Linked DNA regions of Lepisosteus oculatus. The protein of the gene in region 2 interacts with the protein of the main gene of each other region in a pairwise test. Links are inferred from orthologs where the notes say so. Each region holds a gene or a part of one and is shown on either strand. Other genes may lie near its edges.

Region 1 (10,014 bases), on a different chromosome or scaffold from region 2:
TCTATAAAAGTTATGTTATACTCCACAGATGTTTTTTAAAATAGTTCTACAAACCCAAATTACAAGCACCAAAGTCCCAAATACAAATTATGAACTTAGTATAGGAAAAGGGCCTACACCAGGCTTGGATCTCAACTTGAAAATACATAGCTGAGTAAAACACAAAATTATAGAAATCGATCATTTTGATTAAGCTGGGAGCATGTGATGGCTGATCAGAAATGAAGTCTATTTTAGTGAACCTGGATCTGTTCAACCCTAATATGAGAAAGAAGCCACTAAAGCAGCAGAGACACAGTAAATTACTCGGTATATAAATTAAGTATGCAGTGATCAATACTTTTAAAATGTTATCCCAGTTGTTCAGTAAGTGCTATACACAGTGAAAACCCCTCATGAAGATCCTCAACCTTTTGAGTTCAGTTCCTGAGTCAGGTTGGATTACATCCGTGAACTCAAAACAATGCACACAAATACCAACCAAGTACTTTTAATGCTGCAAGTTTACATTAAACCTCCTCATTGTTTGTTCTGATTGGCAGAAACTCACCCAGCAGCCTGTGAGTCAGAGTCAGAGTATGCCCGCTCTGGTGGGTGAGAAGTTCAGTAAACAAACAGTGTGGTTCTGCAGTTGCTGTCTTTTCAATTTCAGTTTTCCACTTGGGCTTCTTCGCGAGTCTAGACGGCTTTTTGGGAATGTCTATGGCCAGTTTTAGAAAGCTGACAGCTCCACACAGCAGCAGCCTCGGGCCCTAAACACCCCTTGCCCTCCCAGCTCTGCTAACTGGCTCTACACAACTCACAGCTTTTTTCCTCAGTAAGAGCAGCACGCACTGAGCTTGCACAACATGCCACAGCACTCTCTGACAACTACTTGAACGCTTGCTTGCTGGCAGGCGGGGTGACTCCCTTCGTGACGGTGTCTTTATCAGAGAAGGGTGCCTCCAGCTGTGAAGACGGGACCTCCTCTCCCAGTCAGAAGCCTCGTCCCCTTCACATTCCCCAGACCCCGCCAATCCCATGCGAAATCCGCATCCCGAGTCGCACAGTCGAGCTGAGCCCAGGGCAGGACTGAGCCGGCCCATTCCCCCCACAGGGAAACATTTGCTTCTGCTCCAGGAAAGAAGAGAAGAAAGGCGCCATTGCGTTTTGTTGAAATCAAGAGGAAGCACGACGTTCTGCCGTTTGGCCTGGAACAGGGAAGCGACGCAATTTCTCTAGAACATGATGAGGCAGGAAGGCGGGGGGCCGGGGCCGGAGGGCGTCTAGTCCAGGGCCATGGCGGGGGCGGCGGTCTCCTCGTCGCGGGACTTCGAGTGCTGCAGCTCCCGGCGCACCTCGGCGGAGATCTGGGGGTGGCAGTGCACCCTGAGCAGCTCCAGGAGCGCCCCCTTCTGCTCGGACGACAGGTCCTCCTTGTAGCGCTGCGCCAGCGTCAGCAGGCTCTGGTGCCACAGGACAGGCAGCGCGCGGCGGTCGCTGCGGAAGCGCAGGAAGTGGAAGACCAGCGCGTCCAGCACGCGGAAGGGCAGCGCGTACTTCTTGTCCAGGAGCAGGCGCAGGAAGATGCTGTTGGCGCCGGTGTACTCCATCTCCGCCAGCTTCAGCATGGCCGCGCTGGAGGAGGGGAAAGACAGGGACCATTCAGTGTGCTGAACTTGCCCGAACCTCTGCAGCATGAAGGGGACCTCTGAGCCCCTGCCCAAAGGGCTGTGGGTTTGAATCCCAGGTGGGGCCTCTGCTGTTTACCCCAGAGTAAAACAACACACCTCCAGAAATGGACACCAACATGTGTACATGGGGGAAAAAAAAAGGTGCTGCAATAGTAACTTCTGGAGGTTGCGCTAGATAAAAGTGCCTGCCAAATAACGAAATAATATTGCCGGCCCTCCCTCCTGCTTGTGTACCTGGAGTGCAGGACAGGGATGGAGCACTTGGTGATGATGCTGCCGATGATGATGGCCTCTCTCAGCGTGCAGGTCCCCGACTCGCACAGGGGGATCAGGATTCCTGAGCGAGAAAGAGGGGGGAGAGACGTTAGCGATGTGGCTCATCTCCTGCACTGCCAGGGACGGCCATTATAAAGCCTTAGACTCTCACCCTTGAACCAGGCCCCAGGCTTGAAAAGCGCCTTCTTCAGCGCGCTGTACAGGTGGAAGTTGAGCCGTTTATACTCCGCGATGTCATCTCGAATCCGCGGCAGCAGGACAAGGTTATAGAAGCGTTGAGCCATCCTCTCCTTCAGATTGGAGGAGAAGATCCTGCAGGTGGCAACAGGGAGAAAGAAAAATGAGGCGTAGAAAAGGGACACCTGCACACGGACAATAATTCACACAGGACACATCCGACAGCTGTCGCTTGACCTGGTTGAGTTTAACCAGGTTGTACTGTATACATTGTACCGATTAAGCATAACAGTAGCAATTAGCTTTACACGCTCTTCTGTGCATATTGAGGCACATATGAATTCCCATCACAAATTCAAAAGCCGCTACCAGTTGAATAAAAGCCTGCAGTTTGTAAAACTATAAGTGGATCAGAATCCTGCGCAATGGGTGCTCTCATGTTCTTGGACGCATAGCCCTACGAACACGGAAAGAGTTTGGGGCTGAAGTGGTTTATGAGAGAATGTTTTCTTGGTTAAAAAAGAGAACCACTTTACAGAGACGACAGGAAAGCCTCTCCTCTGTCCGTTTGCACAGTGTCAGCGCTACAAACCAAAAGAACAGCAGTGCGGTCTGCCGGCCAAGTGTTTCGGGAGCTGTGAGGGGAGTGTTGATCTCACCGTGTGGCCTGGTACATCGCTGCCGCCGTCCAGGTCTCCGGCTCTGTGATGTACAGCACCTGCTCCCAGTTGGACAGAGCAGGCACGATCTTGAAGGCCTTGGGCAGCTTTCCGCTGCGGTACTTGGACAGAACCTGGGAGAGTGCGTCAGAAAGGACAGTGAGGGAGAGACAGGGAATGGCAGCACACAGACTGAGAGAGAGGGTGTCCCCGCCCACACCGTGGCCCAGCACAGGACGCTCACCTCCTTCACCCCCTTGTACACCTCAATGACTCGGGGGTCCAGCTGGGGCATGGGGTGCCCCGACACCTCCGACATCACCGTCTCCACCTCCGTCTGCTTCTCTGTGATCTTCTCCATGATGATGTCCGCCAGAGTCCTCCTGGGGGAAGAGGCACAGTCGTGAACGCAGCCTGACACACTGAGGCCGGAGGATAGCAACCACGCACTCCGCACACGGGGGCAGGACATTCCAGGCTGGAACAACGCAGGGCTTAAGGAGACAGTCACTTGTCTGCTGTTGGCCACATCAAACCCTGGCAGACAGACCCCAGAACTCCCGAGTGCCTCAACAGTCTGGACTCCTGGACCGCTCCTGAACATTGACTATTACTGGACACACAGGGACTCTGCTGCTGGAACTGATGTGGGGTCTTTTCATTGCCAGAGAAAAGATGGTCCCATCTCAAGGATTTCTAGACGTAAACAGATATTCAAGGCAGCTTTTCCAGCAAAGTTCCGTACGTGTGGAAGAGAGCACTGCACACGATTTGTGGATTGTGGTTGAGAAACACTGAGTAAACTCTGGGCTGCGCTGCTGGAATTCTAGCAGGTTTGCTGTTGCATTGCCAGAGCCCGGCTCTGTGAGGTAGGTCGGTCCGGGTCAGTACCTGAGCGGCGGGTTCTTGCTCATGAACATCTGGATGGCCTTCTCATCCTCCGGGTCCACCTCCACCTCTGCCCCTGCCGCCCCCTCCCCGTCCTCTCCATCTCCCCCCTGCCCCAGCGCCGGCCATTCCTCCTCCTCCGAGTCCGAGTCCCTGGAGCCAGAGCCTGCAGGGCAACAGGAACAGGTCAGAAAACCCCATCAGGGCTGTTGGGAGCTAGCTGATCCCATCATTTCACCCAGATCTTTCCAGAAATGGCCCAGGGAATGAACTCCAACAACATGGCTGGGCCACTTGTTTCAGACCTCCACCACCCTCTGTGTATAGAAGTACCTCCTGGTCTCAGTTTTTAAGAACTCTTCCCAGTAGTTTTCACTGTTGGTTCTGAATCAAATCGCAACACTCTACAGCGATACAGTTTGAGACGGTGACAACCCCCCTGCCCATAACTCTCAGGACACTAGACACCAAAGGAGGATTCAATGTTTGCTACTTGCTCTCAAAGTGCCAGCATTACGGCTGGCTTCATGAAAACCTGGCCAGGTGGGTGATGGGATTGTGGCCTCTCGCTAGGGGTCGCGCCGGAGGCCGTGTGTGACCAAGCAGCTGAAGCACAGCAGAGAGAAGCGGTATCTGATTTCCACCTCTTTTGTACGAACAGTTCACGAACAGGACGCCTCACTCATGTCACTCTCCTTACAAACAACGCGGCACGCACAGCCGAGATAGGTCGCACCCGTGCCGGACGCAGGACCAGCCCGTGACAAGCGGCACGCGTTCTGTCACCCTCGCTAAACACTCACCCAGCACGGTCGTGGGCTGCTTTTTACTCTCCGCAGTCTTCCCGAGCCCGCACTCCGCCTCCAGCTCCTCCTGCTGTATCCGAGCCTGCTCCAGGATCTTCCGGGACAGCCGCTCGTCCACGTACTCGTCCTCAGCCTCCTGCCGGCGGCCACGGCTCTTCACCCGGCCGCTGCTCTTCACCTCATCGCTCTGCAGGATCTGCTCGGCCAGAGGAACCATCGCGACTCGGCTGTGCTCCGCTCTCCCTCCGCCTTTCGTCTTCTTCACTTTCGGCATCTCCGTAGGCGCCGATTCGCTCTGCTGTCAGAGTTCTGTTTGTCTTGTGTGCCGAAACCTGTAAAACAGACTTAAAACTCTGCCCGCACATGTGGAGAAAGACCACTCAGCAAGCACGCGTGACCCTTTGCCACTCACCGGAAATGATGTCACCGCCCCTCCACCCCGCACAATCATGGCGACACTCGAAGCACAAAAAATAAAATTGAAGACAACTTTTAAAAACGTCTTTATAGGAAGTCTTGAAAATGATCATTTAATTTCACGATAAGAATAATATGAATATAAATTAGCTGTACTAATTTGTTATTGTCAACCTCCGATCGTGGCGTCACTTCCTCTTCCTGATAACAGGAAGCTCGTGTCTGAAGTAACGTGAAGTTAGAGGAGTCTTGTTCTGTCAGAGGCGAACATGGGTGTAACGTGGTAAGATTAGTTATTTGAATCTTTTATTGCAGCAGAAACGTCATTTCATTGACAATGGCGATCCGGAGCGTATTGTTTTACACGGCTGGACATGGTGTTGGAGCAATGCGAGTTTCATACCTACGTGTACAACAACATAGTCACAGCTGGGTTCCTCGGGTCCAGAGCCTCACCATAAATATTAAATAATACGATAACAGACGTTTTTAAACTGGTTAACCGCGGCCCTGGTGGGGCTGCGCCGACAGCAACAGTTGTGAGTTTGCGGACTTTAGAAGCCATTTGAAACGAAATGGTCTGCAGTTTGAAAGGAGGCAGCGTGCTTTGTTTACGTGCAGGGACAGGGTGTGCTATATTAGCGGAGTCTCTGGTCCGGCGGTATATCGTTACAATTACAGTATGATGATGCTGCAGGAGGAGAAGAAGGTGGTTTGGAGAAAGGAGCTGTTTTGAATTATGTAACTGCAGCCTGGCTAATGCAGGTTATTCCAGAACCGATTGCATTTTCCAATTTAGCAGTATGTTTAAAAAGCTTTATGCACAGTTGTGTCACAAGATGACACTTTTGAACCAACTCTTAAAATAGCACTATAGTTTTGCTCGGTTCCTAGAACAATTTATTTAAAACTTTTATGCATTTAAAAAATATATAATTTAAACGATCTAATTGATATATGATGCTTTGCTTTTTTGTTTTTAAACTATCTGCTTTATAAGAACTCAACTCCAGTCTTGACTTGACACAGTCCGGCAGTGTGTTAAAAATACCAGTTAAACTCATAATTTGTTCAGTTAGGAAGGTTATTAGTTGAAATCAGTGTGTGTGTGTGGAGTGTTAGCTGTAACCCTGTGCTCTGGCAGTGTGTGTGTGTGGAGTGTTAGCAGTAACCCTGTGCTCTGGCAGTGTGTGTGTGTGTGGAGTGTTAGCAGTAACCCTGTGCTCAGGCAGTGTGTGTGTGTGTGGGGAGTGTTAGCAGTAACCCTGTGCTCTGGCAGTGTGTGTGTGTGTGGGGAGTGTTAGCAGTAACCCTGTGCTCTGGCAGTGTGTGTGTGGGGAGTGTTAGCAGTAACCCTGTGCTCTGGCAGTGTGTGTGTGGGGAGTGTTAGCAGTAACCCTGTGCTCTGGCAGTGTGTGTGTGCGGAGTGTTAGCAGTAACCCTGTGCTCTGGCAGTGTGTGTGTGGGGAGTGTTAGCAGTAACCCTGTGCTCTGGCAGTGTGTGTGTGTGTGCGGAGTGTTAGCAGTAACCCTGTGCTCTGGCAGTGTGTGTGTGTGTGCGCGGAGTGTTAGCAGTAACCCTGTGCTCTGGCAGTGTGTGTGTGTGCGCGGAGTGTTAGCAGTAACCCTGTGCTCTGGCAGTGTGTGTGTGTGCGCGGAGTGTTAGCAGTAACCCTGTGCTCTGGCAGTGTGTGTGTGTGCGCGGAGTGTTAGCAGTAACCCTGTGCTCTGGCAGTGTGTGTGTGTGTGGAGTGTTAGCAGTAACCCTGTGCTCTGGCAGTGTGTGTGTGTGTGTGGAGTGTTAGCAGTAACCCTGTGCTCTGGCAGTGTGTGCCAGGTGCCGGTGGTGGAGGGGAAGAGTGTCCAGCAGACAGTGGAGATGCTGCACAGGAAGCTGGAGCAGCTGGGAGCAGTGAAACAGGGCAGTTTCTGCGTGGACTGTGAGACCTACCATGCGGGGGCCATGGGCACTACAGGTGAGAGCGCTGAGCGAGGGAGCGTGGTTACTCTGGATAAAGAGAGAGGTAGAGTGTTGTGGAGAGAGTTGTCCAACACAAAATAGCACTGAGAGCTTGAGACAGAGGGTATTAAAAAAGCTAATAAGGAAAGGGGGAAAGATGCAGATAGATAATACCCCTAGCGCACAGAGGCTTGATGCAGAAGTAAAATGTTTGTGTTAGAGACCCAGGCTGAGATGGTACAAAGATGAACGCCCTGCTGGCCTGTACATTCTCCCTCTCTCACCCCAGGGCAGCCCACCAAGTTCCTGTACGTAATGCACAACTCGGAGATGCCTTTGAGCTGCTTCGCTCTCTTCGAGGGCGGGCCCTGCCTGGTGGCCGACCCCAACTTCGACGTGCTGATGATCAAGCTGAAGGGCCACTTCCAGAACGCCAAGGGTAACAAGGTGGAGAGCCGTGGCACGCGCTTCCAGTACTGCGACTTCCTGGTCAAGGTTGGCACCATCACCATGGGCTCCAGCGCCAGAGGGATCTCTGTGGAGGTGAGGAGCAGGAAAGCACCCAGTGGGAGAAGTAGAGGTGGGAAGGGGGCAGGAGTGAGGAGCTGAAAGGCTGCTAACATTGCGTGTGCCCGTGTGTGCAGGTGGAGTACTGCCCATGTGGGGTGCCCAACGACTGCTGGAATCTGATGAAGGAGTTCATGCAGGGATTCCTGGGACCCCACACCCCCGAACTGCCCATGGTCTTCACTGCCAAACCCGACGGCATCTACAGCCCCTCCGACTGCTCGGACACCATGGCGCAGTACCTGGAGCTCTTCGGCAAGGTGCGCAAGCAGCAGGTGGCAATCGGGAGCAGCATGCGCTGAGAGGAGGCCCCCGAGTTCCAGAACAGGTTCCCATCCCTGCACGAGCCTGAGCCAGCTGTGCTTGTGTGTGCGCGGGTCCGAGTGGGACACTGGACTTCCTGCGCGAGAGGCACAGCAGCCTGCTGGAAAGCTCCTGGCGCCTGGAGAAACATTCCTCCTGTTCCAGCTCATAGCAAGGGGATCATCCCAGTGTGCTGTTGACAAATACTGAAGGTTAAAGGTGTTTGCGCGCTCTGCTAGAACTTGTTCCAGGCGGCCGCAAAAACTTTTCAAGTGTTTCCTTTGCAAGGAAAATGATTCTTATAATGTGATCCTCCTTCTTCAAGTTAAGTAAAAACTTGGTCAGTTTTCAGGTTTCAGGTGTTTTGGTTCCTAGTACTTCTGCATTAATACTAATGTGACAGCAGTGCTAATCACCCTGTACGCTGGGCTGGGTCTGGTCAGTTCTGGGATGGGAGGCAGTGGCCCTGAGGAGGCCAGAATTTCCAAACCTGTGCCTCTGTATAGTAACAAGGTAACGAGGGATGCTGTGCTGTAGGAGGTGACTTCCTTTGGATCAGACATTAAAACATTGAAGTCCTGTCTACTTGGTCATTAGAAGACCTCGGGGCACTGTTTACAAAAGGACAGGTGCTAACCCTGCTGTCATGACTATAATCCACTAGGAATATGTACAGTCTAGCTTCCATAACATTTTCTGTAATCCTACTGGTGAAGCAAATTCTTCTCGGTAATTCACCCTATCTGCTGCGTGTCACTCGGGTGACTGATGCCACACTTCTGCAGTGGATAAACTGCGTCCCCTCCTCAAGATACAGCTGTAGGGAGCGCAACGTGCTAAACAAAAATGAGTAAAGACGAGCTCTCAAGGTACGTCACAACTGTAAGGACCCCCTGTGTTTCTTCACTACTCATGCGAGTTCTGCTGTGTTTGAACAGAAGCAGCCAGGTGTGCGGAAGAGGTGGTCAGGGTATAAACGGTGCTTCCTTCTGTGGAACTGGGAGTGGGGGGTGTTTGAGAATGGAGACCAGGCCAGCTTTCAAGGGCGCAGGAGTCATGCAGATACCTCCTGCTTCTTGTGATCCACATGGTGTCTGCTGCATAAGTAAAGCTTTGCTCCCAAGGAAGCGTTTTCCTCTCGACATCACCAACAGGACTTTGAACTCTGCAGTTATCACCAAGGCGAGACTCCTGGAGAGTCTTAGCGAGAAGCAGTGCTGCAGGGAGAAATGAAAATGTCGCTGTGCACAGCAGGGCAGGGCAGCGCAGGGTAGCAGCTCCCAGTTACAGGCAGTGAGGCGATCTGTGTGCCGTTTTCGTGCACTGGCTAGGCCTGGCAGGTGTGGCTCTGATCCGGACGTCTCGGAGTCTGGGAATTAGCCTCTTAACAGGTTTTGTGGAGTGAATCCGTGTTACAGTCTCCTGCAGGAGTACTGCAGGATTCCAGGGAAAACTATTTCCCAATGATGAGCTGAACCTGAAGCACGTTGTTCTGCCTCCGTGTTCCCCAGCGTGCCGCCGTGGGGACGGTGGAGGTGACGATGTGGGAAAAATTGCCTGTTGCTTAACTGCATCTTTGAAGGTGCCGGTCTGTCAACGGAATGCGTGTCTGAGGAAGGAATGTATGGGTTTTGTTCCTTTGAGCTTATAAGACCCGCCGGCTTTTTAGTTGGGTGTTTATTTAGAAATGGAAAAAATGCGGTCGTTTTACAACGGAGTGGAAAAGTGGTTATTTTTAATATAAGGTCCCCTGACACAGGTGAAGCTGACGTGACAAAATTGGAAGTTTTAATATCATCACTCCTTATGGCGCAACGTCATGACTGAAATATATAAAAATGTATCGTAGGATATTTAGACTGTGCCCTAAACGAATGTCTATTTGTCTATTTGAAAACGAAATCCTTTAGGACACCCCTAAAAATGCAGCAGGTCCTTCAGTTTCGGTCGAGCGATCAGTGTAACGACGCGCAGCCGGGTGGGAACTGTTGAAGGAAATACCCACCGGGCCAGGTTGTACCCGGCTCCGGCTCCTAGCAAGGAGCCGCAACTTGTTGAAATGCGAGACATAGTGACGCCAAAAAGTGTTTTCTTCCCTTCAATATAATCGGCGTTAGAATAATGTCGGAAATTATAGTTAAATTAAGGCTGCGTCTTTGAAAAGCGAAAACCAGCTATTTTGACCACTTCTATTATGCCCAAGCAATGGTATTTTAATTTACATATATTTTAATTCGGTCCTAATCTTTTATTAACGTCTTCGGCACTGGCTTTATTTTCACACCCGG
Region 2 (9,849 bases):
CAACCATTCAGGAGACATAGGTAACCCTCCCTCCCCCAAATAAGACATCTTCATCACACAGAAAGATCATTTTAATATTGTTTTAAAGCGTTTAAATAAGGATGTCCATGTTTTATAATTTAGGTAAGCTTTCATGATGAAAATTAGGCCACGTTTCACCCATGTCCTCAATTATCTCAAAACATTTTTTTTTCATTTTGACATTCATTGCAGTTCAGACCCTTATTTACGTCTCAAGGTCATGTCATTATTGCTGGAGGTACAAGATACCCCTGACCTGACACCCTGCGCTCCAGCACCTCTTCATGTGACTGACAGCTTCACTCTTTAACCTGCGCTGGTGTTTAAAGCTTGGAGGCCACTGCTCCAGGACTTGAACTTGAACTTTATTGCCATATATAACCAGTACATGTACCGGTACAATGGAATTCTTACTGACAGAAAGTCTCTCGATTGTTTAAAAAGTGTAAAAACACAAAGTGCAGACAGTGCATCAAGACAATATACAAACAAACAATAGACAATGTACAAGTAAACAGTTAGAATGTAAACAATGCAGACGTGTGAACAATGACTGCAGATGTGCAATAAATAAGAAATTATAATGAGGTAGATGGTGTAGGTGTGGTCAAATGTGTTCGCCAGTCGCACTGCTTGTGGGTAGAAGCTATTGAAGAATCTAGTGGTAAGTGTCCATATTCTGAGGCCTTGTTCACCTCTCCCGAGCTCAGGCTGTATGTTCTGTCTGTTGCTGGGGTTAGCAACGCAGACGTCGGCTCCTAAATCCACAATGATGTCATCACAGTGTTTTGGAACAGGAAAGGATCTCCCTTTGGGTGCAGGAAGTTGACCACTAGGTCATGTTACCTCAGATCAGCAAACAACGTGTACCCCAGCCAGCAATCCCTGTCCTACACCACTGTGACGCAGGCGGTGTCCCCCCCAGCTGTGAGCCGTTTGTCACTTTTTGAATCATTGAGTGGACAAGCTGGTGGGAAATCATGAGCTTCATCATAAGAAATGATGAGAAAGGGGTTGAAAGCACAGCAGAAGTTGATCAAAGGAGTCTGTGGACTGCCCCATGACTTGAGAAACACAATCTCATCAACTGCGTCGCGGCACTTGAAATCTGTAGAGTTAATGAAGTCGCTCGCTGTGGAAGCCATTAGTGCAAGTGATGTTGTAGCCTTCAGTGTCTCATGGCTCTCAACAAAGCTTAGCACTGGGAGATATTTAACGAGGACCAGGCGTGTCAGATCAGCTTAACTGGCAGGAATCGAGGTGACAATCTAAGTGTGGAGTGAGGGCAGGTGCACAGTGTGACGTAGTCATGTTCTGGCAGTTTGGAGGTGATAGTTTTCAAAATATGTTTTCAGCATTGTAGTCTGGGCTAATAAGCAAATGTCAAAACTTAAAAAAAAAGTTGAGTGTCCTCATTCTCGTCTGCAAAAAAATGACCTGAACAATACATGCACTATTCAGGCAATATAGAGAATTCATGTGGAAGATTGACCTGACACCCTGTATTCAAATGTCTGCTGTCTCCATCAATGGGCACAGCACAGAGGCTTCGTGAGATGTAAATAAGGGTCTAAACCATGATGTGTGTAAAAATAAGTTAATTTATTTTGAGACCTAATTATTTCCCCAAATGGCCAAGAATGTATGGAAATACTGGTTAAACTCAAAAGGAGTGACATCAAAAACAGCCATTTTTTCATGATTTCTTATGAATCATTAGTGAATGAAGTGCCTCCCGTTCAGCACAGAAATGCAAGGAAAGTGTCCTTTGTGGTTCTTTCTCGATCTGTTACTCAAAGGACAGCAAAGTCATTCCTTATTTTCTTAAAGCGGTGGAAGAGCTCGTTCCCGCCCGCGCTCCGCCCCATGCTGTCAGAGTCGGTGCTTGTGAATGGGAGGGTGAGGAAGAAAGCAAAGCGACCTGTTTGATCCCGGCTATTGACTTGCTGAACCATGTGACTGCGAGGCGTTCGGACTCGAGCTCTCCACGTGATCTCCGCTGCTCATTCGGCAGTCCTGCAGTGCGAGGGTCGTGTTCCTCCCACTCTCTAGCCGGAGGAAGTATTTAAGAAAAGAAGAGCCACACAAACGGCCTTTTCCTGCGATTTGCCGCAACGTGCTGCGGAGAACGGGAAATAAGGCACATCTTAACGTCAAGACACAATTTCAGTTTTATGATGCTTCCTTTGGATGGTTTTTGAAGCATCTGGCATTCAGCTTGTTTGCATTTACAAAGTTTAAGTATCAGCTCTATGGCTGTGCAGTTCGTTGCTCATTTCCCTGAAGTGCCCTTTACACTAGAGTTAATAACAGTCCATTATTTGTACTCAACGAATGTGTTTTTGCGATTACCTTCATTATAGTAGTCTGACTGATACGGTTGTTTTTGTAAGCAGCAGTCTGTGCTGTGCTGTGCTCATTATGTTTGCAGATGCAGGGAAGGTTAAGCCAGTCTGCATAGTTGGTTTTTATGCATCATTTTCTCCAGCCATTAATCAAGGATATTTCATGGTGGCGTCAGGCAAGGTTATTTTTGCAGGATGTTATGGCTACAGAAAACCCCTCAGAGTCCAAATCACCAATAGTTCAGTATGACCTTCTAAATTGCTATAAACCGCGTCGCTCTTTGAAAAGTCTTGGATAATTGAGGCCGGTGGTGAGGTCCGTTGACTAAAAATAGAACGTTATTGAGGTCGCGTCGCACTCGGAGATAACCAGCAGGTGGCGATGTTGCTACTATTCTGACTTCCTAGCAACCCTGTAAATACAATACAACATTACATTCCTCAGACGGCTTGCTCCAACTGCATTTGTTGCTACGATATAATATTAATAAAAACACAAACCTTGAAACAAAGTAAAATCCATTTTTGTGAATGATCTGCTGCTCTTGTATGCACAACAGCCTGTTGTACAGCTGCAATTCACAAAGCGAGCGGATCATACTTAAATTGGGCGGCATACAGTACATTATAAAACAAAAGAGGCTTTGAAATATAACAGTTACTGCCGTTAGTGGCATTTTGTAGTTCATTTGAGCCTGTTTTCCATTTCTGCTTTGCTGTGTCAAACTATAAAAAAATAAGTGTAATGAAAACAACACGAATTGCCTATTTGGTACATTAAGTCATAGCTGTGGGTTTCCTGTGAAGTGTTGTAATTAGCTAAGCTACGGCTTTATGTCTGCAATTACGTAATATTGTCTGTGTGAGTGTGTGTGACATAAGCATCATTTTCCCTAGTTCTCCGTTTCTATAATAGAAAGCTGTTAATTATAAAGCTCCCCTGAAGGGAAGAGCAGAGGCATGCTTGAGGATTTAAAGCAGTAGTTTACACTGTCTTCTGCTCTCAATTAGTGTGTGGCCGTATCTTACAAGATCAGACCTGCTCTTACAGAATCCTCCCTCATGAAGTTGGGAGCCCTGGAGAAGTGCAGTCAGGTCTGCAGTGGCAGCAAGCGGTTGAGTCTCCCGCACCCCTTTAAGACAAACCGTGGTCTTCTCTCCTGGGCCTGTGCCACATGCGAGTCAGCGCCTGTGTGCCTGTGCGCCCAGCGATGAGCCCTGGTCTCCAGCGTTCACAAGCCCCTGTGATTTGGGCTTCCAGTCCGCCCTGTGATGTGGTCTGTGCTGTAGCACTTTAAATCCGCCGTCGAGTGGAGATGTAATTACGGCCTGTGATTTGTTTATTTTTCTTCTTTTTCTTCCTTCAATTAAATGCCAAAATGTGCCCAGAATAGCTCTTCTGTGGAAGAGAAGGGTGTGTGTGAGGCAAGGGGAGGGTTTGGGAAGAGATTAAGAAAGCAGTGATTTCAAAATCTGCTCCTCTTGCTGGTATGTAAATATAAAGAAGTGGCTCAGGTTGCCAGGGAGACACGCTTCCACATGGAAATCTTGTTAGATTCACAAACCTTTGCTTATTTTCTCGTAGCAAGCTTTTCTGCAGTTGAATAGAGGTAGTTTAGCACATCGACAGAGAATTGGAACCTTTACCCGCTGGGAAGGTTACACTGGGAAGGTCATGCACTTCTGCTGCCTGAATGTAAGAGAGTCTACTTTATTGAGTCACATTTGTATCTGTGGCATTTAGTTCAGCCTCTTGTGTGCTTTCAAAGTGCAGTTACCAGGCGTTACAGCAGGGGGCAGCTTTTAGAGAAAGCTACAAAAATCCTCTTGCAGCTTGTAAGATTGTTACAGAGTCCATTGTGTAGCAGGTAAGCTGCTTAGCTACAGTGCTTTCATCTTCTTAGTACATCCCGTCCAGGATGTGTCTGAACTCGTTACGGAGGATTTATGTGGGTAGTGGAAAATCGATTTTACTGCATGGATTTTGATTGATTTGAACATGGGCAGCTGATGGTTCAGACTTGAAAATCCACTTGGAAATCTTGTTTGGTTCACAAACCTTTGTTTATCTTCTCAGACCTTTTTATATTAATATACATTTTACATTTCCTTGGTCCTCAAATCTACCCTGCTGTACTCTAAACTGCAGGATAGTATGTTAAAAAGTTAGCTGGGTCATGAGCAAAGATAGTTATCAATAGCGTTCTGGTCTGAAAATGTAAGGCCATTTGCACCCTCTATCCATTTCTGTGGCTGAGACATAACCATTAGTACCCTAGACATGTTACAAAATTAAAGAAAAAGTCAAATGTTCTGTTGTTGACTAACTTTTAGTTAGACATTTTCAGTTGCTGTAATTCCATTTTACAGTTTAACGGGAGATATAACCGTTTTTATGCAAATCCTGGAAAGACCCATAAATGTCTAAACTGTAACAAAATATTTTTGTGCTAAATTAACAGCCACTACAGTTCTCAAAGCACAAGAGTGTAAGTTTCCCATGCAGGGTCACACACACAATGTCTGCTCACACAATGAATGAGGTCATTCTCCAGGCGGCAACCAATCAGAAGCCTGATCCCTGTCTTCAATGTCTGAATTTGAGACAAGGGAAGCCACAGCAGATTTTTTTGCAAATGCAAATAAATGTGACATCAGTGTCCACTGCCCCATGCCTGCGCTTATCCCTGCAGCAGATGGACAAAGGACTTAGAGGGAAGGACTGTTGGGGATTCGAATGCAGAGTGAGATGATATTTGCCTTGGTGACACCCTCGGGCAGCAGATAGAGAATGAACTGAGGCTTTCTGATGAGCAAGTGAGCAAAGAAACGGCTCTCTGTCGTCACAACATTTTCAAGTATTTTGTGAGGCAGGACAAGTGGACAAACCGGTCGGAGAAACATTTCCCGGGCCGGTTTAGAAAAGGCAACAGGGTGCAAAACAAAAAAACTTATCAGCTGAATAACATACCGAGAAAAAACAACAGGGAGGTACAAAAGCGTGGGGAATATTTTTTTTCAAGTTTTCAAAGAGCACATTTTTTCGAGCACATTTTTTCTTGACGTTTATCTTGCCTTTTTTCATGAGCCATCGCAGCTGGAAATAACACGACTTCAGGTGTGTTATTTCTGCCTCAGACATCAGTGATTATGGTGATACCAGCAGCAGGTTCAATCTGAGAAACATTTTTTTCTTCTGGGTGTGTGTTGCCGTGCACACATCTTATCAGTGGAATACCTTCTTTATGATTGTGTTTACGTGTTGAATCGAAAGCCTGGAGTTACGAGTGCCCTGACCTTAACAAGCTGAAGCGATATGGGCTTAGGAGTGGCGCCCAGGGAGTCGGGACTCTGGACAGACTCATGGCTTTTCTCCAGGGCTGGATCGATGCTGGCAGCTGTTGAACACTGGATCAGTGGAAACACAGGGCCATTAGGAGACAGGATTGGAGCTCCTGTTTGAATCTGGAGTGTTTTGCTGAATATATCATTTCTTGCAATTTGCTTAATGCTTTACACCTAGGAAGGGTCCCAATTCTTTCACCATAAAAATACTTCTCCTTCTTGGGAATGCAAGCTGTCGCCATCCTGTATCAGTGGCCCTACAACACACTTGGGTAACAGGAACACGGGGAGCCGTCCAAACTCCCTTCTGGACCTTCTTGGTTTCCTGCTGGTGCTGAATCTCAGAGCTGTGAGTGAATCCACAGGGACTTGTTGGGTAACTTGCGCTGGCTGTGCAGCCAGATCCTTATTGTATTTGGTGGATCCATGGTGAAGAAATGAGACCAAGAAGTCTGTGATGGTAAAAATCAACATGGTGGTGCTTAAGAAAATCTGTCTTCTGCTTCCATGACTTCTTGAAACGTGAACATCGTTCACTGGGCTAAACACCTCCGAACTGGTTGACTGGACAGATTTTTGCGAGGAAAGTCATTGGTACCTGCATGTTCTTTATTGGGACCACGCTCGGAAGACTTCAGATTCAATCTCTGGACTTCACTGTAAGCAAATTCCCAAATGAAGAATTGTATCTTGGCAAACACAGTATCGCCCATGGGTGTGATATGGGTGCATTTGTTGAAAACACTTTCATTAGATTACTTCCTGCTAATTTGTTTATACTGCTGGGGTTGGAGAGCTTACTGATTAGCCTTTGAGTAAAACATGCAAATCAGGAGGAGGGTATAATTTTCCATAGTTCAGAGACCGAAGATCACAGATATATCGGAGACGATGACTGTTGATCTCAAAATCTGGAAGAAACAGTTTGCTTGAAGACACTCTTAAATTATTGTGAGCCTTTGAAAAAGAAAAAAGCATTTGGATTGATCAGCCTGGAAGAATTTCTGAAGCTGTGAACTCCTCTCATGTAAGATACTGGGTATAGGGAGCAAAACTCTGGACTGAGCTCCAGACCAGTTCTGGGTTTTCTTGGCTGCTGCGTTGGGACCTGCACCCTTTCACTGCGGACACCGTCCTGACAACAGCCTTGCCTTTCGGATTTGGTGACCTAAGAGCTTTCTGCCTGCTTCCCTCCCCAGTAGTATCCAGTAACTGTGATATCGGAGCAGGCAATCTGCCCTGTCTCTTTTTAGGGGTGCAATGTATGTCCTGTGCACTCTGGTGGTGCTGTCTTTGCACAGCCTGTTCAAGGGGCGAAAAAGAGGCTCAGAAGTGGAGAAAGTGAAGCATTCCGACAGGGAGAGAAACTCGCCCAGAGACTGCTGCACGGACAACCACAGCCCAGGATATGAAGCCCAGAGCCTGTGCACCAAGAGTAACAGAACCACTTTGAGCAACATGCCTGGCTGCTGCTACAGTACCTGGGCACAGGTGAGAATCCATCTTGCTTACAGCACAGAATAACCTGGCTACTGTGCAGACTGTACAATATTCATTTTCCTTTCTCTGTCTTTTGGGGGGTATTGGTTACCTCTTCCATCTCTCTGTTTTTGTGCATTTCCCTTTATTGGTCAAACATGTTTTATAGCGTCACAAATTACTTGTAGATTGTTTTTGTATACTCATTTGTTTCAGCGTCTAAGTAAATAAACTACTCGACACGGAAATTCCTATTTATGGAGAAAGAAATGAAAGGTGCACAGTGCTCCATCTGTTTTATGCAGGATTCATTTAAGGGATTATTTGCAAGCGAAGTCATTTTTTAATTAAATGTTGTTGTTGTTTTGTTTCTGGGCAGGTACTGTAGAATGGGCTAAAAAACAAAACCCTTGTTTTTTAAAAAGTACAGGAGGCCTGTTTATTCTACCCTTGAAGGAAAATTAACTTAATGAGTGTAAAATCTGAATTGCAGACAGTAACTTCACACCCTGACATATCTGGGTGTAGTGTCCAGGAGCAAGCAAGAATCTCCGTGCATAATTCTTAAACGTTAGTGCTGGTGCTGTCAGAGTGGGAGTCTGCAGCTCTACTGTTTGCAATCATCTGCAAGTGCATGAGCTTTTTTTGCCTTTGAGGATTTGTTTAGGGTTTGTTTCAGCCTTTGCCAGCTAAATTGAGCTCGAATCCTTTTCAGATGCTGATATGCAAATACAGCTTGTAAATTCACCAAGGGAAAGTTGGGGGTTGACTGTGGGCTAAGGGGCAGTCTCGCAATAGGCAAAATTCTCAAATACTCAAAATGAGGTTGTTGCAGGTTCAAGTTCCAAGTGTAACTCTGTGCCTTTGTACTGTTGAGCACAGCACTACAGAAAGTATCGTCCGAACAGATCAATACTTTTTCTGTTGCTGTTGTTATTCCCCCTTGCGACAGACATCCTGTCCAGGGTGCACCCCGTCTTGTGCCCCTGCTTGCTGGGAAAGGCTCCAGCTCCCTCACGACCCTGTATTGGTTATGTAATACGTAGATGGGCAGTTGTTGTTGTTCCCTAAGTGATATCCAAGTACAGAACAATGCATTTTAGGATATTGTGGTGTTTGTGCATTGTGCACCACTGAGTTTGCCGAGTTTGTGTGTTTTTCTGGATTTCTGGGTGTGATGCTGTCTGACTTAGGACAGTCACATTGTATTTTCTTAATGGCTTTCGGACAGGGAGGATGATTGAGAAGCCCAAGCCTTTCAGTGCCATGTTACACTGCCTTCATGATAATGCTCCAGAATTTAAAAGGCAGATTACCACTGTGGCTCAATAATTCATGTGGGGTTTGGTTTTGTTTCCGTTACACCTGAACGACAGGAACTGGCCCTATTGAAGCACGCCTGTCTTGCTCCTTCCTGCAACTAGCCTGTGTTGAGATTCTGTTCCGTCCATCAGCCCAGTGACGCTCCATCTGACATCAGTCAGAATACATGAGGATGTCAGTTGTTAAGAGCAGGATTGCTCCTTGCTGGGGAGCATCCTCTTCTAACACCTGGCCCATGAAGTCAGAATATACCTAATTCCATTGCTGCATTCCACTGGTCACCCTGCGCCTGCACCGGCATGAGCTTTTCCTTCATTGGGACACTCCTTGGAATAAAAAGTCTCCGGTCTTGCTGATCTTAACAAAAACTTATGCAGTGAGAAATAATTTGCATTATCTTCTCTTATGGAAAGAGGAGGGGGACTATTAAACAGAACTCTGTCTGGTGTGACCCCAACATGTACAGGCTGCTTCTGGTAGATGTAGGTTTTTGTTAGGATTGTGAATTTTCATGCCTGGAATTTAACAAGCGACTCCCAGAGGTGTCACAAATAGCAGGCAATAATAGAGGATTAGAGACCTGAGGTCTGATAATGTATTATACAGCAGGTCTCTTGCTTACAGCAGGAGGAGTCCCTTGGGACTGAACTAATGGCAGTAACAGGAACCTCCCTCATGGCAGTTTTTTGTGGAGCTGAGCAAAGTGTGTGTCTATTCGGCAGCAGCTCAGGACTTAGAGGCGCAGTTACCTCCTTTACTAAATATTTCAGGTTCTGGGAGGAGGGGAAAGGAGAAGCCGGGCTTCATTTGCCAATTAAATATTAATTTTGAGCACTGAGGTGTAGTTGCCAGTGTAGGGGTGGGGAGTGGGATTTTGTTGCTGAGGAGTGATGGGATACTGGGTTAGATTTCCTTGTTACTAAGTAACAGGAGGAAAGCAGAGCACCGAGAGGCTAGTGAGAAGAGCCCGGCTGGTTTATCGGAGTGGTGCTTTATGTAGCTGTGTGCTCCGTGCTGCACAAGGGGCTGGCAGGAGATGTTGGCGTGATGGGGAGCTTGGCACCGCGGCCCTGGAGGTAGGTAACCATGCTGAGTGCCTGGTCTGTGCGCCGCAATAGGAAAGAGGAGGGAGAGAGGGCTGGATGGTTCCCTTTCATTCCTTTGTATAGTGTACACCACCAGTGTGGCTGCTGCTTTTGTGTTTCATGCAAATTGAGACTGTATGGTCTTCAGTGTGTCATTGTGGCCAGTGCTATTTATGTGTAGTACTGTACAGTGCTATACATTTCTGTCAATTATGTTGCAGTTTGTGTCCTGACATGTAGGGGAAACACAG
Region 3 (10,193 bases), on a different chromosome or scaffold from region 2:
GGCTGTGACAGGATCTTCCCACTGAATGCAGAACTCACAAATGTTAGTTACTCAGTCTCTCCTCCCTATTCCTGCCTTGCCATTTCAGTCCGCAGGACTTAAGTCTTCCTCTTCTTTACCGATGGCCGATCAAAGACATCTCTTACACCCCCTGCCTTCTGTTTGAAGAACTTGCTGTTTTGTGCACTCTCCTGTGCCCAGGCCGAGTCAAAGGAAGTGGTGTCCTGATCCACCAAGTGTGTGTATTTAGTACGCCCAGAACGGCCGAAGTTCTTGACCTGAATAGAACAGGAACAGCAGATTTCCAGTTAAGTATTAACATTAATGTAGGAATGGACTCTTGACACTGACCCACTATCAAGAATTGAAACATATATTTAAGAATTAAGGTGATGGGCTGTTATGCATATTCATTACTTTTTCTTAGGAAAAAAAAATCAACATTTTACAAACACTTAACATTGTATACCTAGTACCTGAAATTTCTAATGTAACTGCTTAAAAACCCTCATCTGTAGCTCCTAATAAATTCTATTACAGAATGTCTTATCAGAAAAACAAACGTATATGTAAAATATACCTTGATTGAAGCAGTACAAAATGTTCATTTTAAACTGGTACCTGTTCTCCAGGTATACCTAATATCCCTCCCTTTCTCCATGTCGCAATTAATGATAATATTCTAATACTTGACTATTTCCAAATCATGCATAATAATGAAGATGTACTAACTATGCAATAATTTTCAAAACAGAAATGGTGGTAAACACAAAAATCCAGAGAATGTTAGTTAGCATTTGATCTTCAGCTGAACCCAGAAATGAATAAATTCAGCAATACGAGTAGACTCCAGCCAGCTCACCTGCATGACTTTGGGCAAGATGGTCTTGTTGAAATGGTCCTCCAGGGTAGGGGCGCTGAAGTCCCTCTTATATACATCTTGCTCCTCATCCTAAACAGTCAGATTCACAATTAGGAATTCCAGTGCCACAGAAAATTGCACAGAGGTAAGAGCAAAATCACCACAAATATAATGGAACTACTTTGAGTCAATCTGATGGTTTTGTTTCTGATTTTCAATTCAATAGAATAATTTCTCCCATATCAAGCTCCCAGTTGTTTTTGCCTATCACTTTAAGAATGTACTGCAACAACCCCAGTCTATCACTCATCATGGCCACCAAACAAAGAGAAGACTCACCATGAAGAAGGCTCCTCTGTGGTAGTACTTCTGCAGGAATTTATATTTGCCTTTAGATGCTTTGTTGGTGATGAGTTTGCCGTTGGAGCGAAGCTCTGCCCTGCGCTCCTCTTCGGTGAGATTGTGGAACCTTTCAATCTCCGACTTCTCCTTCTCCATCCTGGGAACACAACACCCAGTGAGACACACCCCACCATGGCAAACCGGTCTTCACAGATCACGAATTACTAGCCAAGCTGAATCCACAGTCAGCATTATTCTTTTTTGATTAAAACATATGCCCACTGCTGATTGAATTCACGCTGCCCTTCAGGGAACCCAAACTGCAGACGTCTGTAATTTGCCGATCAGGTACGGTACTTCTCATACCAGAGTGCGTACGGACCTGGGTGGTGCCCCCCCAAACTTACGCTTCGCGGGCCTCACGGTCCCGTTTGATGCGTTTGAGCTCGCGGACTTTCCAGGCCTCGTACTCCTCCTCCTCATTCTCCCCATCCGTGTCGAGGGCTTCCAGTGCGGCCAGGGTGCGCCGGTTCTCCTCAAACTCCTTCTTGGCTTCCTCCTCCACAATCTTCAGCGTGTAGCGCCGACGCTCCTCCGCCTGCTTCTTGGCCTCGGCCTCCAGCTCCTTCTGCTTCTGCTCCTCGGCCTCCCGCTCCGCCACCGTCACGCGGTCCTTCCTGCAAGAGCCAGCAGAGCTCCATCATGAGGGCCTGCTTCCGCAGTCCACTCTGGCAGTGTACGCATTCACAGTGACCTGCTCACTGCTTCTTACACTGGCAAAGCCCCAGTAAAGACACTGCTGAGCAGCCCTGCAGGTCCTCAGTAAAACGAACGTTTAGCTTCGAGGGGAGACTGCTGTAACAGCATATTTCTTCCCAGCACAGACTTCACATTATTCTGTTCCAATTCTGAACTTTAGAATTGGAATACAGTAATATGTGGATCAGAAAGCTTCTCAGACTCTGAAACACGTTTAACACACTCCACGTGTTCTTACAGCAAAGAACGAAAAGAAACTGAAATAATGTTCCTGCCAAACGTACCAGTTCTTTACTTGTCTGCAGTCAGATGCTTACTAAACTTTTTGATAAATTATTAGAACAATAACGGTCTGCGTCACTGAAAGAGCAAAACCTTCCGATCTTGTATTAGGACCCTCCGCCCAAAATGGCACTACCCACTTGCGAATGAAGACGGGTTTGAGGCGTGGTTCGGTTTCGTCCTCGCTGTCAGTATACTCTTCATACTCCGACTCGGACTCCGACTCCTCTCCCGACTTCCCCTCCTCTTCCACCTCCATCAGCTCCATTTCCTCGTTCTTTCGCTCCTGCGCCCGCTGACGCATCATGGCACGCCGCCTCTCGATTTCCTACACACAAACACCGGGGGGAGAGGGGCTCACAGGGGACTCTTCTTTACCATCAGACAGCATCTTAACAGAGCACTAGCAATGAAAAGATTTGAGAACAGCAGGAAATAATCTTCTCACGTGTCAGGAAAACATCAAAACATTACAACACGAGAAGTCACACAAGGGAATACCATCTGACCCATCTTGGCTTGTTAGTAGCTAACTGATAAAATTTCAACAAACCACTTCTTGAATAATCCCAGGACAGTCAATTTATAAGCAAACTACTGTCCCAGGAAAGACACCGATCTGCACTTTCATACTAGAATCCAGTTATTACACCCAATTCCTCTGCGTTTACCTCATCGTCAACCTCCTCCTCCTCTTCCTCTTCACTGCTCTCCTCTTGGTCTGGATGCCAGCCCCCCTCATCCGACTCCTCGCTACTCTCCACCACCAGCTCCGGCTCTGCGATCTGCCTGTGTCGCGCCAACCTGAGGAAAAGCAGGGTCTGTGTCAGGGATAGGGCAATCAGACCTCACAGCAAAAGAATCAAAACGACATGACCCACAAATAATGTTATTAGTCCCACTGCCAGGCCGCTTTCCATTTTGACCATCACGACAATCAAAGTGTTATTTGGAATGACAGATCAACTATATAAAAATGACAGCTATACTGCATGCAGTTACATCCACTTAAAAACACAAAGAAGTTGCAATACAAAATTTACTGAAAAATAAAATAAATGAACTTCTGTTTGTTCACAATTTCCATTTTTAACTGATAATGTCACAATGGTGCAGTGATTAGCATTGTGTGCTATCTGATGGAGTTTGTATGTCCCCCCAGTGTTCATGTGGGTTAACCCTGGGTGCTCCGAGTTCCTCCCTCAGTTCAAAAGCACACCGGTAGGTTAACTGGACCTGGTGCGAGTGTGTACGCGTCTATGCCTCTCTGCCCCTGCCATGGACTGGCGTCAAGCCCAGGGTGTACCCTGCCTCGTGCCATTGTTTGCCCGGATGGGCTCCTGCTCCCCCATGACCCTGAACTGGAGGGAGCGGTTAGAAAATGGATGGATGTCACCAAGTCAAGCCACTTGGGGATGTTCTCAGCGGATGAACACTCCCCCCCCAGGGTACCTCTCCTCCACGTCCTCAGTGACGCGGTTCAGCAGCCGCCTCAGGCGGGGGTCCGACACATCCTCCTCCTCCAGCTCCACCTCCGGCTCCACCTCCTTGCCCTTCTTCATGAACTGGAAATCCTCCTCCTCTTCGTCCGAGGACTCCATGGGGGCATAGTCCGGGCGCTTTCCCGACACATAGCGCTTCACCTTCACCTTCTCCATAGAGATCTCACCTGCAGCAAGACACAGCAACCCCATTACCTCCCTCCTCCGCATGAACACATGCACACACAGCGCTGCCCAAGAGAGGGGCTGGGGAGAGTCCCTCACTCCCTGCTTCTCTCTGGCTCCCCCAGACAGCGCACCTCTGGAAGACTGCAATAACACACAAGCGCTACATGGAACTCCCTTAATAGTCACAGAAATCTGGAAACGATGACGACTGGTGTTTTTTATTACCCTTTGCGTTTCTTGCGATCAGACCTGTTTGAATAATCAACACTAGGGCTAAAGAGTTTCATTATAACCCAAAACAATTATGATCTGTATCTATAGAACACACATAAACGTAGCATTTTAATTTCTTAAATGGATTCATACACTTCGCAAATCAACACAAAAATACCAACATTTCTCTATTCAGTAGTATTATCAAATACCATATATGTATCGAAAATATTGGGTCTACGTTTTCATTAGCTTATATGTGTATTTGTATCGAGTGTAAACAAATAATCTCCCGCTTTGTTATTAATTATTGACTTTAACTTTATATCATATATTTATTAATACCGATACAAGTATTTATCCAGTATTTCATCATGTCTTACAATATAAAATTAACTTAAATGTATAATTATTTAACATTTACTTCAACTAATATTTTCGTGCACTTTCACAGACAACCTGTAGGAAAGTCAATCATTTTGGACACATTCCTCTCGGTATTCTAACTTTCAAACCGAAAACAAGGGCCCGATGATCACCAGTCCTCGCTTTATGCGGAGCCTCAGTCCAACAACTCACCTTTCTCATTGCGCACCGGCACGGCTCCGGCCGTGGATTGAATCGGCGGCTGCTTCACGTTGAGAGAATTCGGTGCCGCCATGACTGGACGGTAAAAATGACAAAAACAAATGCAAAAGAAACAAATGTATCTCAGATCAGCTTCACAACACACTCAACAACTATCTCCTTCCTCTCCGTAGCAGAGAAACAGGAAATACGACACCAAGCCGCCGGATGTTGTTACAGTGCTTGGATTCCGAACTGCAACAAAAAACTACAGAGCTTCCTCCTTAATCTTTATTTTGGACCAACATTCATTAACGTAGTGGGCGAATGAAAAAAAACAACAACAAATTAATTCCGTAGGTTTTATAAACAACATGTTATAATCTATAGAAATATTATTTAAAATAGCAATGATTATTTTTATTAAAATATTTACTGGAATAAAATTTGAAAGCACGAAAACCTAGTGTAAATCTACGGTTTGAAGCTGGTTTGTGTTTTAGTATATTTTATAGAAAATAATGTACTGTACGTCAACATTGCATATAAGTTAACACTGCTAAGAAAATGTATCGCTACATTGATTTCTCTATGCCGTGTCCCATCAAAAACATCTTTCTTTACATTTGAACTAAAAAGACGAGAACATGAATGGAGGATATTTTCAAAAGTAGAATAACGTGAGTTTAGTTTTGGAGTTTCAATTTTTATCATTTTGTGCCGATTCTTATTCGAGAATTATTCACCTCAGATTCCTCGCCTTCTTCTCTCACACACAACACACAACCACCTTCCGGAAGAAATAGGATCATGCAGTAAAAGAGTCGTTGTTTTGTCACATTACTTTATTTTATTCAAGAACTTAATTTACATTAGAAAAACAAAATTACAGGAATGCTATTACATCTGGGAGTATTAGTAGTAGAGCACTGTAACTGCCATTTTATTATAAAAGTAGTTGTTTCTGGGTTTTTTTTTTCATTCTCGTGTTTTCAGACTGGGAGGAAAAAGTGAACATATAGTATATTGTAGAAAATTGTTGCAAGAAGATTCTGTCTTCTATGGGGTTAACACTGAAGTTCACAGAGGTCGGTCAGCTGCGTTCTTCCACTTGCGACAGAAACAAGGCCAAAGTCATTAGAGGAAATGAGACTCCTCTGTTCTCGGGCAGTGCTTTTTCTCACTTGTCTCATGCGCAACTGGAAATTCACATGTAGGGAAGAGATGATGAGAACACAGACCGCGTCAAAAACTGAGACACCATATAATGTGTACCAGAACCAAGGTCCAGGAAATCCTGCAACAAGACCAAGACCATTAAGCAATCACCCACCATCAGAATATTGCTTTTTTCTGGTGTCATAGTTGACTATCCAGGAAATATAGGGGGCAGGGCAGGACTACACTCTGAACAGGACACTTGTTCATTGCTAGGTACACATACAGTACACACAGAAAGAATTAGTAGACACCAATAAACACAGTCATCATTACATTGGAAAGTATATGAAAACTGCATTTCACATCTATAAATCCCATCAAGAGTCTTAAAAGATTTGCATGCAATGATGATGTGCAACATGTGTTTGCTGAAAACTAGATATTGCTATATAAACCATGCAGAGGCAAACCATAAGTTTCCATAACAGAATAATGATTTGTCACTAATTCATTGTTGCATTAAGCATTTGCTTGTAAAAGTGGAAGATCTCTAGAGCCCTACTACACACACTACAGATTTCCAGGTTAAGAAGTTCCAGGTTGAGTTAGAATTTCTTACTTACGTAATCCCAAGATTTCAATGTAAAACTCATTGTCATATTCAAGGTAACCTAAAAATAAAAAAAATAGTAAAACTTAGTTTAAGTTGCATTTCTTTTAGATAATAAAAGATATGATTAGCAATAGTTTCATATTTCTTTAAATTACTTCTCCTGTCTTTTTATGGTTTCATAGCTACCATTAGACAATAAAAGCAAAACAAACCTTTGCAGATGAGACTATCCACCAATCTGGTATTTTTACATACCACAGACTGCTTTTCCCCATCGTGTTTTAGGAGTTATATTAAAATTAATAATTGTTTTCACATTGTACTCACTTCTCAGGAATATATTACTAGTCTTGCCCTGTTTTACCTTTGACTCCAACAGTGAACACAGCAAGCCAATACAGCATGAGAACCTTCATGTTTCTGTCTCCGTTCCTGCAGTATGCAGATCTGTAGCTTCCTGTTTGTGCTGGCAAACTTGTAGTTTCAGTTGGAAACTGTTGTGAACACGTTTTAAGAAACAAAACACACCCCAACACCTACAGGGTGGGATGATTCTGCAGAGACAGGAAGCTGACATGACTGAGGCAAATATTTGGTTTCTATTTGTTCCCTCAGTGGCATAGGCTTACTATAATACCACTAAGCCTATTTAAAGTTTTAAATGTTTCATGAGATTGTGAACCTCAAGTAGTGTGGGGTCTTATGGTGTTCAAAACAATGGTTATCTTTATGACACTGTAGCTGTCTCTCTCACAGTGCTCAACATTTGAACATAAATCAGGGTAGTTTCACACATACACTTTTCAGTTTGCATTGCTCTACAGAAAGCAAACGTTCTTTCAAATGTTCTACAGTAACAGTAAATAAAAGCTTTCTGTAACTATGAAATGAGCACAGTATTTACTGTAGTTGCTTCCTATTTGTTGTGTTGCTTTCTCATAAGGAAACAGAATGGTTAATTTAGCATGAGTGGTTTATATATTGAGGTTTGGAGATCTTGTCTCTGTCTCTAACCTGACCACAAATGGCTGCAGATCTTCTAATAACAATGATGTATTACAACCACTGTCTTTGACAAAGAAGTTGCAGATGAACATTTTATTATGTGTATTCTGAAGCAGAGAATACATAATATTGGTTCTACGATAATTATGTTGTAACTATATTATTAGACAAACTGAATAAGTGTGCACCTTGTACATGTGGAATTACTGCATGCATAACCTATAGTCTGTTAAAACAAAACGATTATAAAAAGACCGGGACAGAATACAATCATTCGTCTTTAATAATACAGAAACAACCAAAAGACAACGCGAGCTGTAAGTGCCGAGGCCAGTGCTATCTAGGGCAGAGCCAGTTCTGCTCCCGTCAGGTGAGTAAGGAGCCCCGCACCGGAGAAGAGGTAGTGTAGAGATTGTGGACGGGGTGTCTCTGCCGATGGGAGTCAGGACTCGATGCCTCTCTCCCTGAAGAGCTGCTGCAGCTTGTCCTCCAGTGCTATGTTAGTGCCCCGCAGACGCTTCACCACCTCGGCTGCCCACAGGAAATACTCCTGCACCCGCTCTGCTGTCCAGCCTGAAACAACGCAAGGTCGGAGTCATCGGCTCCACGCCCAGCAGATCACACACATCAGGACGTTCGAGTCTGCTCACTCTGAAAGGGGTTGACCACATTGTAGTGGAAAGTATTAAATTACCCTATGCACGCACATAAGGAAGTTCAAGTTATACTGAAAGGGCAATAACAGGGAATAGCTATCTTGCGGTAAAGTAAAAGGGGAACATGCACAAAGAAGGTATGCAAATATTTACAAGACCAGGATGTCTCCGAGTTCCTGTTGCGAAACATATACTCGAGCCATAATGTTTTTTTTTAAAACCCTACAAACGATCTTACACGTTCAGTCGCAGTCACACAAATGTCAGGCTACAACACAACAAAAACGTATTTTTGTTGTGGCCCAAAGCTATCATTTCTTATTGTGACAAAATCTGAAACACTGCATAATGGCTCACATCACAAAAAAAGTGATCTATAAAAATGTATATGTACAGCTGTGAAGGAGATCGTATTTTCAAATAATAATAATAATTGCTCACACTTATATAGGGCTTTTCTGGACACTCCACTCAAAGCGCTTTACAGGTAATGGGGACTCCCCTCCACCACCACCAGTGTGCAGCATCCACCTGGATGATGCGACGGCAGCCATAGTGCGCCAGAACGCTCACCACACACCAGCTCTCAGTGGGGAGCAGAGTAATGAAGCCAATTCATAGAGGGGGATTGTTAGGAGGCCATGATTGATAAAGGCCGATGGGAAATTTGGCCAGGACGCCGGGGTTACACCCCTACTCTTTTCGAGAAACGCCCTGGGATTTTTAATGACCACAGAGAGTCAGGACCTCGGTTTTACGTCTCATCCGAAGGACGACGCCTGTTTACAGTATAGTGTCCCCGTCGCTATACTGGGGCATTAGGACCCACATGGACCGCAGGGTGAGCGCCCCCTGCTGGCCCCACTAACACCTCTTCCAGCAGCAACCTTAGGTTTTCCCAGGAGGTCTCCCATCCAGGTACTGACCAGGCTCACACCTGCTGAGCTCCCTGAGCCTCTCTGTGGCTGCCCTGTAGGTGACTCACCAGTGGGAGTGCAGCGGTTCAAGTCCCTCAGGTTGTACAGTTTGTCAGCCAGTTTGACCAGCTTGGCCTGGTGGCTGCAGTGGGGGGCGTGCTCCACCTGCAGCCGTTTCCTCTCCTGTTTGGGAAGGGACCTGTCGTCGGTCACCTCCTGGACGATCCGCGCCACTGTCGTCCCAAACATGGCCTCCAGCTCCAGCAGGGTGGTGTCAGTGTCCTCCACTGTGTCATGGAGCAGTGCAGCCTGCAGGGGGGCACAACAACGTGCTCACTGACAGCTGACCACACATTTGAACTCCTCCAGTGCTGGAGGTGATACAATCCTAACAAGATGTAAATTTAATCAACGGATTCAAGGTAATAAATTAGGCAGTGTTACAGACAAATCAATATACTTCTCATTTACTTAACCATTTCATACCTGCAGAAACACAGCAAATCCATTCCTAGAACATCTGTTAATGCAAAAATGAACACTGCAACTGATGTAGTGCACACTATTCGGGTTACACAAGAAAATATCTTTTCACATTGTTTATTCTAATAAGATTGCAAGTAAACTACACATGCATACCCAAATGTGTCACTCATTTGGTACAGATTACAGCAGTGAGAGCAGCCCGACATGTACCTAAGGATACTTCCATAGGTACTTGCATGTTTGTTACTGGGGGGGTATGTTGTGCACACAAGAATCAAATTGCTTTTACCTGTAAAACTGCAATGTCCGTAACTCCACCTTCCTGACTTAAAATTCTAGCCACCCCTAGAATGGAAAAAAAAAATCTTAAAGTCCAAGGATATAGGATTCCTTTTTTTAAAGGAAGCAACAGGAGAGAACAATCACACTAGTATTACAAATCTTTTATAAAAGTGATTCATTCTTAAAGAGCATCTCCCGACTGTTAACACATTCTCTTGATAAGAATTATAAAATGATCAAAATTATATGCAACGTTTTTACATCAACAATTGAAAATCACCATGTGACGAACAGCTTGCTTGTTTCGACTATTTTCTTCTGAGAAAAGTTTGCAAAGGGAAAAGGTTAATAATCAACACACAAATGATACTGTACGTC

Evidence for each region.
Region 1: the proteins of kifc3 (region 2) and bysl interact in binary tests that used the Homo sapiens proteins (3 or more experiments, as listed by UniProt). The link is inferred for Lepisosteus oculatus from reciprocal best matches to the Homo sapiens genes KIFC3 and BYSL.
Region 3: the proteins of kifc3 (region 2) and mfap1 interact in binary tests that used the Homo sapiens proteins (3 or more experiments, as listed by UniProt). The two-hybrid records come from large-scale screens. The link is inferred for Lepisosteus oculatus from reciprocal best matches to the Homo sapiens genes KIFC3 and MFAP1.

The regions. Positions count from the first base shown.
Region 1 is NC_090700.1:40,788,508-40,798,521, reverse strand, and holds bysl (bystin), read right to left. Parts: upstream 4,906-10,014; 5' UTR 4,754-4,905; coding exon 4,477-4,753; intron 3,840-4,476; coding exon 3,677-3,839; intron 3,169-3,676; coding exon 3,030-3,168; intron 2,920-3,029; coding exon 2,786-2,919; intron 2,262-2,785; coding exon 2,101-2,261; intron 2,011-2,100; coding exon 1,908-2,010; intron 1,618-1,907; coding exon 1,266-1,617; 3' UTR 475-1,265; downstream 1-474. Other genes in the region: med20 (mediator of RNA polymerase II transcription subunit 20), read left to right, coding at 5,166-5,179, 6,724-6,872, 7,146-7,399, 7,501-7,725. UniProt on the Homo sapiens protein: Required for processing of 20S pre-rRNA precursor and biogenesis of 40S ribosomal subunits. May be required for trophinin-dependent regulation of cell adhesion during implantation of human embryos.
Region 2 is NC_090715.1:4,617,027-4,626,875, reverse strand, and holds the start of kifc3 (kinesin-like protein KIFC3), read left to right. Parts: upstream 1-4,999; 5' UTR 5,000-6,971; coding exon 6,972-7,202; intron 7,203-9,352; exon of another isoform or gene 9,353-9,589; intron 9,590-9,849. UniProt on the Homo sapiens protein: Minus-end microtubule-dependent motor protein. Involved in apically targeted transport. Required for zonula adherens maintenance.
Region 3 is NC_090700.1:49,400,725-49,410,917, reverse strand, and holds the start of mfap1 (microfibrillar-associated protein 1), read right to left. Parts: upstream 4,906-10,193; 5' UTR 4,790-4,905; coding exon 4,708-4,789; intron 3,915-4,707; coding exon 3,698-3,914; intron 3,050-3,697; coding exon 2,917-3,049; intron 2,574-2,916; coding exon 2,386-2,573; intron 1,882-2,385; coding exon 1,612-1,881; intron 1,362-1,611; coding exon 1,202-1,361; intron 953-1,201; coding exon 863-952; intron 279-862; coding exon 99-278; 3' UTR 1-98. Other genes in the region: hddc3 (guanosine-3',5'-bis(diphosphate) 3'-pyrophosphohydrolase MESH1), read right to left, coding at 7,917-8,047, 9,116-9,356, 9,823-9,878. UniProt on the Homo sapiens protein: Involved in pre-mRNA splicing as a component of the spliceosome.